2 linked regions of the Bombyx mori genome follow. The protein of the gene in region 2 interacts with the protein of the main gene of each other region in a pairwise test. Links are inferred from orthologs where the notes say so. Each region holds a gene or a part of one and is shown on either strand. Other genes may lie near its edges.

The links. The genes of interacting proteins can lie anywhere in the genome.
Region 1: the proteins of transcription elongation factor SPT5 (region 2) and rotamase Pin1 interact in binary tests that used the Homo sapiens proteins (3 or more experiments, as listed by UniProt). The link is inferred for Bombyx mori from reciprocal best matches to the Homo sapiens genes SUPT5H and PIN1.

What each region holds. Positions count from the first base shown.
Region 1 is NC_085107.1:9,297,223-9,301,538, reverse strand, and holds the start of rotamase Pin1, read right to left. Parts: upstream 2,871-4,316; 5' UTR 2,812-2,870; intron 2,711-2,811; 5' UTR 2,664-2,710; coding exon 2,600-2,663; intron 642-2,599; coding exon 417-641; intron 150-416; coding exon 1-149. UniProt on the Homo sapiens protein: Peptidyl-prolyl cis/trans isomerase (PPIase) that binds to and isomerizes specific phosphorylated Ser/Thr-Pro (pSer/Thr-Pro) motifs.
Region 2 is NC_085110.1:18,085,722-18,089,865, forward strand, and holds the start of transcription elongation factor SPT5, read right to left. Parts: upstream 2,870-4,144; 5' UTR 2,710-2,869; coding exon 2,510-2,709; intron 2,427-2,509; coding exon 2,348-2,426; intron 2,263-2,347; coding exon 2,131-2,262; intron 1,357-2,130; coding exon 1-1,356. UniProt on the Homo sapiens protein: Component of the DRB sensitivity-inducing factor complex (DSIF complex), which regulates mRNA processing and transcription elongation by RNA polymerase II.

The sequences.
Region 1 (4,316 bases), on a different chromosome or scaffold from region 2:
GGAAAATGCGACGTCTTCAAATGGTTTCTGCATTTGACCTTTCTTGAAACGACCCAAATCCCCATCACGTTTTGCTGATGAACAATCAGAATATGTACTTGCCAGCTCTTCAAATTTAGCTTCTCTGTCAATGATTTTACGGCGATACTCTGAAAATAATAATACTTTCAAATGTTATTTTTAGTGACTTAATTTTGCACAGAGAAAAAAAGCTATATTTTACTATGTATTTAATTTGTATTTTGCATTATGCATTGAGAATAATCTTCCAACAGTGAACAGACAAGTGTTTTTTTAAAGCAATTAAGTTTAAACTTAATAGATATTTTATTTTTTAAAGAAATTATTTGATTCTTATTTTGTATTTGCCGTTGATGATGGGAATAAATAAAATTTATATTAATTCAATATCTTGCCTTGTAATATATCAAGAGCTTCCTCCTTAGTACGTGTAATATGCTCTTCACGCCATGAGGATGGTCGGCGGCTTCCACTGTGTTTTACAAGCAAGTGGCTGCATCTTACCTCCTTGGGAATACCACCCTCATCATCATCATCTTCATCATCATCATCAGAAGCTGGTCCACCCGGTTTTTCCCATTGAGACTTTTTTGTATGCTTATTGAGATAGTATGTCATTCCTAAAATGAATCAACTATTAAATTTCAGCATAAAATTGACTCACATGTTAGTCCATCCTGTCAGTGAACAGGACAAATTCTCACTAATACATAAGAAGATTGTATGGATAGGTGTTAAGGATAATAAGGATACAGATAAGGATTAATATTATCTTTATAATAACACCTTCACAAAGAATGCTTCATTTTAGAATTTTGTTGACATAAAAAAGGTTATAGTGAGCCAACCTTAAAATATGGACACATTATTATGCTACCGTAGACTATTTCAGAACTTTTAAAGATAACAATTCTGTCATTCATTCATTTGGCTAACTTTAACCAGCAGAACCTCTCAAAAGGAAAACACCCCGTTTTTGAAACATTGTTTATTAGTGTTGCACTTGTATTGGTCTTAATGTGACGTTATATAGCCTATAGTCTTCCTCAATAAATGGGCTAAACACTGAAACATTTTTTTAATTAAGTCCAATAAGTCCTGAGATTAGAATATTCAAACAAATATAAAAATTCTTCATCTTTATAATATTAGTATAGATTTCACAGTTTGGGCAGTCCAAGTTATTACTATGATGGTAAAGTATACCACGTTGGTAAAGTGCATTATTTACGGCATTATTCCCATTACTTATTTCAACCCTTTATATTTGTATCATGGATTTGTTTTTAAGAAAATTGTATGGGAAGTATAAAATTTTAGTGTATAATTATGTACTGATCTGTTAGCTTTAATCGACTTATAAAAAAAAAGAAAAAATATGTAATTTATAGCTTTTTTGGGAAGTAATACTGGTGGCCTGGAGCCCTTCCAATTTCACCAGGACAGGTGGGCGAGCACAGGCTCAGCCAGAAAGGGATAATCTATAGTTTCTGGTTCCAATAGCAAAAGCAATCCCAGCCAAAGACCAGATGACCATTTGAATTGGTCACAACTATTTATCTGCTGTTACAAGTGCATCATTGTTGATACCAATTACAATAATTATAAACTGGTAGGGATTAAAACAATACAATATATAATAATTTTTCAGACAGTTAAAATTGTAAAATGTGAATACAAAATTAAACAGGTAAAATAAGTATTTATTATAAAATATTACATAATAGTCGCATAGTCAAATTTATGCCAACAGCTTTTTATATTATTTTTTTAACTATGGCTGTGATACCCAAAACCTTAAATTGAATATTTAATATTGTGAACCAGTTCTTTTATACTTTTTTATGTGTATGTATATATGTGTCGACAAGCTCACAGTCAATCTTTGTGCTTAACGCGAGTTTTATAACATTCTCGATGGCGTAAAAGTTAACTTAAGTTTGTATGGAGTTGGAAACTTTGCCTACGTTTGCCGCTAGGGGCGTTGTTCCAACTGCATACAAATTTGAGTTAATTTTTATATGCTATGGAGAACATTAAAAAACACACACTAATGTTAAATGGTTTCCACTGCAAACATTGCAGAGCTCATCAAATATCATAATGTAAACAGCGCCACACATCACACACGAGGTGCAAGTCTCGATGTCAATTGTATGACTGCCCCACCCTACAAACCAAAAAGGAATAGCTACTTAACAAGAATAGGCAGGCTGGTGGTTCCTACAGCGCGGGCTCGTAAGACGCCGAATCAACAGTAAATAGTGTTAATAAAAACTCACTGAAGCACTTCAAAAATAAAAACGTTTGAAAGTAGTTTTTAGTAATCACTATATAATAATCAAAACAATTTCTCAATGAAATTTATATAAACACATAGATGGTCTTCGTTGTTTCGATATCGATCCGAGAAATATAAATCTACCTACCAACATTTTACACTCAATGTCTGCCATTTTATCTTAGAAATCAATAACATTCTATTGATTTAGGTTGATTGATTAGAAATTTGATTAATCGTTTATGTTATTTTAACAAAAGAAACATAATAGGTATTAATTGCAAACGCATAATTTACCTGTACTTCTACTCTTGCGAGCTTCCCATCCTTCAGGAAGAATTTCTTCTTGAGTAGAAGCCATGTCGTTGGTGCGTTGTGCCGGGAACGCCAATAGGTTTTTACGTTTTCCTGAAAATTGTTACATATTTATCATACCATTTTAACCTAATCCTTGAAATATCTGAATTTATTAAGAACTCTATCTTTTTATGGAAAGCATTTCTACTTACTTAATTGTAGAAGAAAATTCTTAACGTTACGAACCTTTTGAGACAAATGATGAAACGCATAGATTATACACTTAATATATTAGAGAATGAAACGCAAAGTTGACTCAGTTGACTGTTGAATTCAGTGTAGGTACAAATTGTCTATGACGATGAATAAAACGAATGAAATTGACAGTAGGTGTATATTAAACGAGGGCGGCACTGAAAATTTCGGGAATTAACGAAGTGACAACATTACTATTTAAAAATGTATTTATTGCTTTTCGAAGTATTCTCCGCGAAATTTGACACATTTTTCCATACGACGGAACCAATCATTGAAGCAACCATTCCATTCAGAAGTTGGGGTCTCTAAAATGGCCGTTTTGTAGGCGTCCACAGCTTCTTCAGGTGATGAAAATCTCTGTCCACGCAATTTATTCTTTATTTTAGGGAAAGTATAGAAATCATTAGGGCTTAGGTCGGGGCTGTACGGCGGATGGTCTAATAATTCTATGTTTTCTTGCTAAAAACTCTTTTGTTCTGTGCGCGGTGTGAGAACTCTCATTGTCGTGATGGAGGATGATGCGGCGGTTGCAGTTCTCTTTACGGAGTTCAGAAACGACTTGTGGCAAACAAATACTAGCATACCAATCTGCATTAACCGTTCTTTGTCCCTCAAGAGGAATAGTCGTAACATGGCCGGTTTTGGAGACAAACGTGGCCACCTTTTTTTTTTGCAACACTCCGTGAACGAACAATTTTTGTTGGCTTTAACTCATTTTCGAACACCCAAACTTGTGACTGGTTTTTTGTTTCGGGTTCGTACGCGTATATCCAGGATTCGTCACCTGATACAATGTTGTATACAGCATTTGAGGATCCTGCGTGGAATCTTTCGAGAGTTCTGACGCACAAAGTAACGCGAGCCGCTTTTTGCTCTTCACAGAGCGAATGCGGTATCCATCGGGAAAACAACTTTTTTACACCTAATTGTTCATGCAAGATTATTTGTATTTGACTCATGCCAATGTCTAAAGTTGCCTGAATTTCGCGGTATGTCATATGTCGATCTTCCTCAATCAGCTTACGCACAGCATCAACGTTTTCTTGGGTGACTGCAGTTTTTGGACGACCTTGACGGGGATCATCACTAAGCTTGACACGTCCACGTTGAAACTCAGCAAACCAGCGCTAAAATGGGGTTTTGGATGGGGCTTCATCACCAAATGCAGAAATCATCCGGTCAACACACTGTTTTTGTGTTAAACCACTTCGAAAGTCATAATAAATCATCGCTCTTGAATTTTCTCGAGTCAATTCCATTTTCTCAACGACTAAACAAGTTTGACAAAACCTCGTGACAAGACCGAGAATCTTTTTTTAAATAAATAAATGGTATTCGATTTTTAAAACCAAGGAGTTTTCAATTAAAAATATTTTAATATGACAGGAACAGTGGAAATATTCCATTCCCGATACTTTTAGTGCAGCCTAGTAGGAAGTAAAACTATTTGAATGTTTGG
Region 2 (4,144 bases):
GAGGGAGTCAACGCCAGTCGCCATGTCTGAACAGAGCTGTAGGTCACGGGGCAGCACCTCAAGCTCGTGCATGGTGAGGTCGGAAACAAGCACGACCCTGTGCGGTTCGACGCGCACTATGAGGCCTGTGTCGCCCTCGTAACGCCCAGCCACCACTTTCACGTGATCACCCATTTTGAAGTACTTGCGCAACTCATTCGGATGGAAGACAATTGGGTCCTTAAGACCATCGTGTTTTGGCATGACAGTGATCATCGAACCGTCGATAGCAGTGATGCGGGCCTGCAAGTTCGCAAGATCTCCAGTACAGACTTCCACATTGTCACCCATGGAGAAGGAATGCAAGCCGGCAGGGTCGTCCTTGGCGGGAGCAGCCAACTCAATATCGATACCTTCCGGTTGCTCTTCAAATCTTTCCAACTCTGTAAGTGAAGGCTTGACACCTTCTGACAGTATCGCCGACATTGTAAAGTTTTTATACAGAAATCCTTTCCTAGAGTACCTATTGCCCTCAAATATGAGGAAATCACCATCGGAAGTAACTTCTCCACCGATCGCTCGGATTGCCTCTGGATCAAAGGGTTTAGCAGGAGGCCTTCTCTTTTTCTTTCGCTTTGCTGCTTCACTATCGCTCTGTACTGTTCTTAAAGCTCCTCTCAGTCTTGTATAATCTATTCTAGGAAGTAGTTTCAAATGCACTTGATTCTGTGCCAAGTCTACATAGTCAACTTGAGCAATATCATCTTTGTATAAACCTCGTTTTAATCTGACCCATTGTTTCGGTTTAAGTCCTGATTGCTTTTTGACTACTCTGAGAACATCAGTCATTTCCTTAATAGGCACCATTTCTTGTTTCCACACTCCAGACTTAAGGGTTCCCACTTTGTCTATAATGTTTTTAACATGTGTCTGCTTGAAAGCCTCTATGTACACATAGCCTTTGACTCCTTCTGGTGCTACAACTGACTTTATCAAAAAAGGTTCTTCCGAGAATTGGAAAGCAATAAATTTTCGCATCAAAAGTAAAACAGTAGCCTTCTCTTCTCCAATCCTACATCTGACCATCCACAAATTTGGATCCTTGATACCGGGTAGTAGAGTTTGCTGAGTTATTTCATCAGACATCTCTTCTCCACCTTCACCAAAGTGTCTGAGGGCTGCTGATTCATCTGCATACTTATTTCGAAGATATTCTTCAATCTCCTCCTCTTTCTGTGAATCCCAAAGGTTAGTGCCTCTTCTTCGACCTTCAATTTCTCTAGCTGTTGGCCCAATTTCATCTACTTCATTTCCTACAATACCCATTTCTTGGGCTCCCTCTTCCCATTCGTCATCTTCATCAACTTCATCATCCACCTACAAGATAAAGTTATTTCAATTTATTTTATATACTTAGTACTTTTTATGCTCTTTCAAGAACTCACTATATGATTTACTATTCACTATTACTCGTATTACTCACTATTTGATACAGTATCTTCAATTACTCATTTTATTGAAGTTTTGAGCTAATGAGTGCAATTTGTGATGTCTATGAGCCCTACAGGGCTTGAGGCCTGAACAGTAATACAGAAATTTGACAGCCAATATATGGCAACAAAAATAACATACAATAGTTGACATAGGAATATGATCGGCTATGTTAGCCACAGCACAGCCACATCACACTGTGACAGTTATAAACGGAGTTTGAAGTGGTCGCCGTGGCCAAAATCAACTAAGGTAGTAAGAGAGTAGTAGTAGTAGCAGTGACTTAAAACACTGTTTATGAAATAGTAAATCTTCAATCGTTCATCTTAGCTCTAAGGCTTATGTTGAATTATGATTTTTGTGTGAATAGGCAGGCACACTATGTAGCAATGTTCTAAATTATATTGTCACAGTTAGCTAAATTATAACTAATAACACAGCTTTAATCTGCATTATTCACGGATACAGTGTGTGGTAAAATTATATATACAATAATGCAGAAAAGTCCACATCAAATGAAAAGTAGCATTAATTAATCACACTTTATATATGAAAATGACAAAAAAAAAATTTCTTTAAACTTTTCTTTGTAATCTCGTTTTTTATATTAACCTCAAATTTCGTAGCATAGACAAATGAAAACCAATTTCAATTGCATACCTCAGCTTCGTCAATAATGAATCCACCATAACGACTGTCCTTTTTTCTTTTCTTCCTCAGCCTCTCCTCTTCTTCGTCTTCTTCATACTCCTCAGAATCAACCAAATCCTCACCTTCGGGCTCTTGTTCATCCTGTTGATACAGTTTCATAAAATATTGTATAGCCCAAACAGAAAGTTATCTACAATTTCAATATTAAATGTTATTTATGCGTTACCTCCACTTCTTCATCGCCAGATGCTTCTTTGGCTTCATCATCTCTATTTTTACTTGCATCTGAACCTACTGAACGACTTCTGTGAAACAAAACAACCCTCATAAAGTCAAGTGAAAAGATACACGGAAAACTTATTATTTACTTAGACTACCCGGATTTTACCTAGAGCGAGACCTAGATCGTGAGCGGGATGGAGTCCTAGAGGGGCTACGGCTTCCAGAACGCGACCTGGACCTTGATCGAGAGATAGAACGCGATCTTGCCGACCGATTCGATGCAGCGCTGCGATGTGATTGTTTTGATACAGCACTGCCTGCCTCGGACCCACTCCCCGAATAGTTACTACCTTCCGAATCCGACATTACTACTTAAAACGAATGCATTCGAACCATTTAGGTAATATTTACTAAACTTATTTCTTTAAAACGAACACGCAACAAACGTCACGAAACAGTGTGACCCATAGATTATACTTTTATAGTGTGACCATTGAGAAAATAGATAATCTGCCCTAGGTTAACTGATTATCTACCCTCGCCGCGAAGAAAAAACCACAAAATATGCTAGGTACCTATTTTTTGCACTTCTCAAACCATTTCTGATTAAAATAAAACGCAATTCTAATTAAAAAATTGTTTTCTGCTATAAATTAAGGCCAAATTTACAAAAAAAACTCTCATTGCATTTTAATCCCATGTCTATAATTTTTTTCTTTATAAATGTAAATCATTCAGTCATGTTCCTTTTAGACCTTATTTCGGTGTACTAACGGTAGGAATACGTCTATTTAAAATTCTATTCCACAAACTTATTTTTGTTCATGTTACCTTGATAAACTAATAATACGAGTAAAGTGCGCAACACGTTTGTCACCAACAGTTTTAAACTGCTATTGCAAAAAAAATGTTATTGTCTTTTTTAAGTGAAAGCTTCTTTATCATCGTTGTGATTCGAAAGTCGATGAACAGAAAAAGCGATAGTAGAAAGAGACAGACACTTAAATTTTTAAGATTTAACGTGGGAGAAAATGAAGTAGCATTAGTGTTTCTTAAATTCGTGGTTCTCTTTGTGCTCTGCTTCGTACCTAATATTCGTACTTAATACATATTGAATAAATCTATGTAATTTAAACGAATAAAGTGTAAAATAAATATCAAACTTTGTATCACTATGAACATTACTATTTTAAAACATACATAATTATCCTCTCCCTGAAATTTTACATTAACTTGAAGCCAAAATTTTTGAAGATTTCACTTCTACCACGTGTGAGTTACACGCATAATATATGTTTTTAAAGCTAAATGAGTATATGTATGGAGTTTTAGAAGGGCCTTCAAATTTGATCCACAAAAAAATTTGCACTCTTTTAACTTGCACTAGTTTAAGTTTTCGTTATTTTGTGTTCAACTTAAAAACTTCTTTTTATTCGCCGAAAATTCTAAGCTTTATAATTTTAGAAGAAGAGCTACTTTATTTGATCCCAAATCTAACAAATTTTGCATATAAAAATTTCCATTCCGGGACGGCTAGGCTGGCAGATGTAAAGCATTGATATAATTTTGTATGGGTATAGATGCAAGGATATTATAAGACAGAAAATCCATGTGGAATAATGAAAAAGAAAACATTAATATTAAGAAACTGTTGCTTGCACATGACGACTCGTCATAGAGATGTTTCACAGTAAAACCACAAACTTCTCTTTTCGCGTTCCTGTCAGAATAATTATGTTACTAAAACTGATGGCTTACTTTTGTGTTTTATCAGACCAAACAAAAAAAAACAGATCTAAAA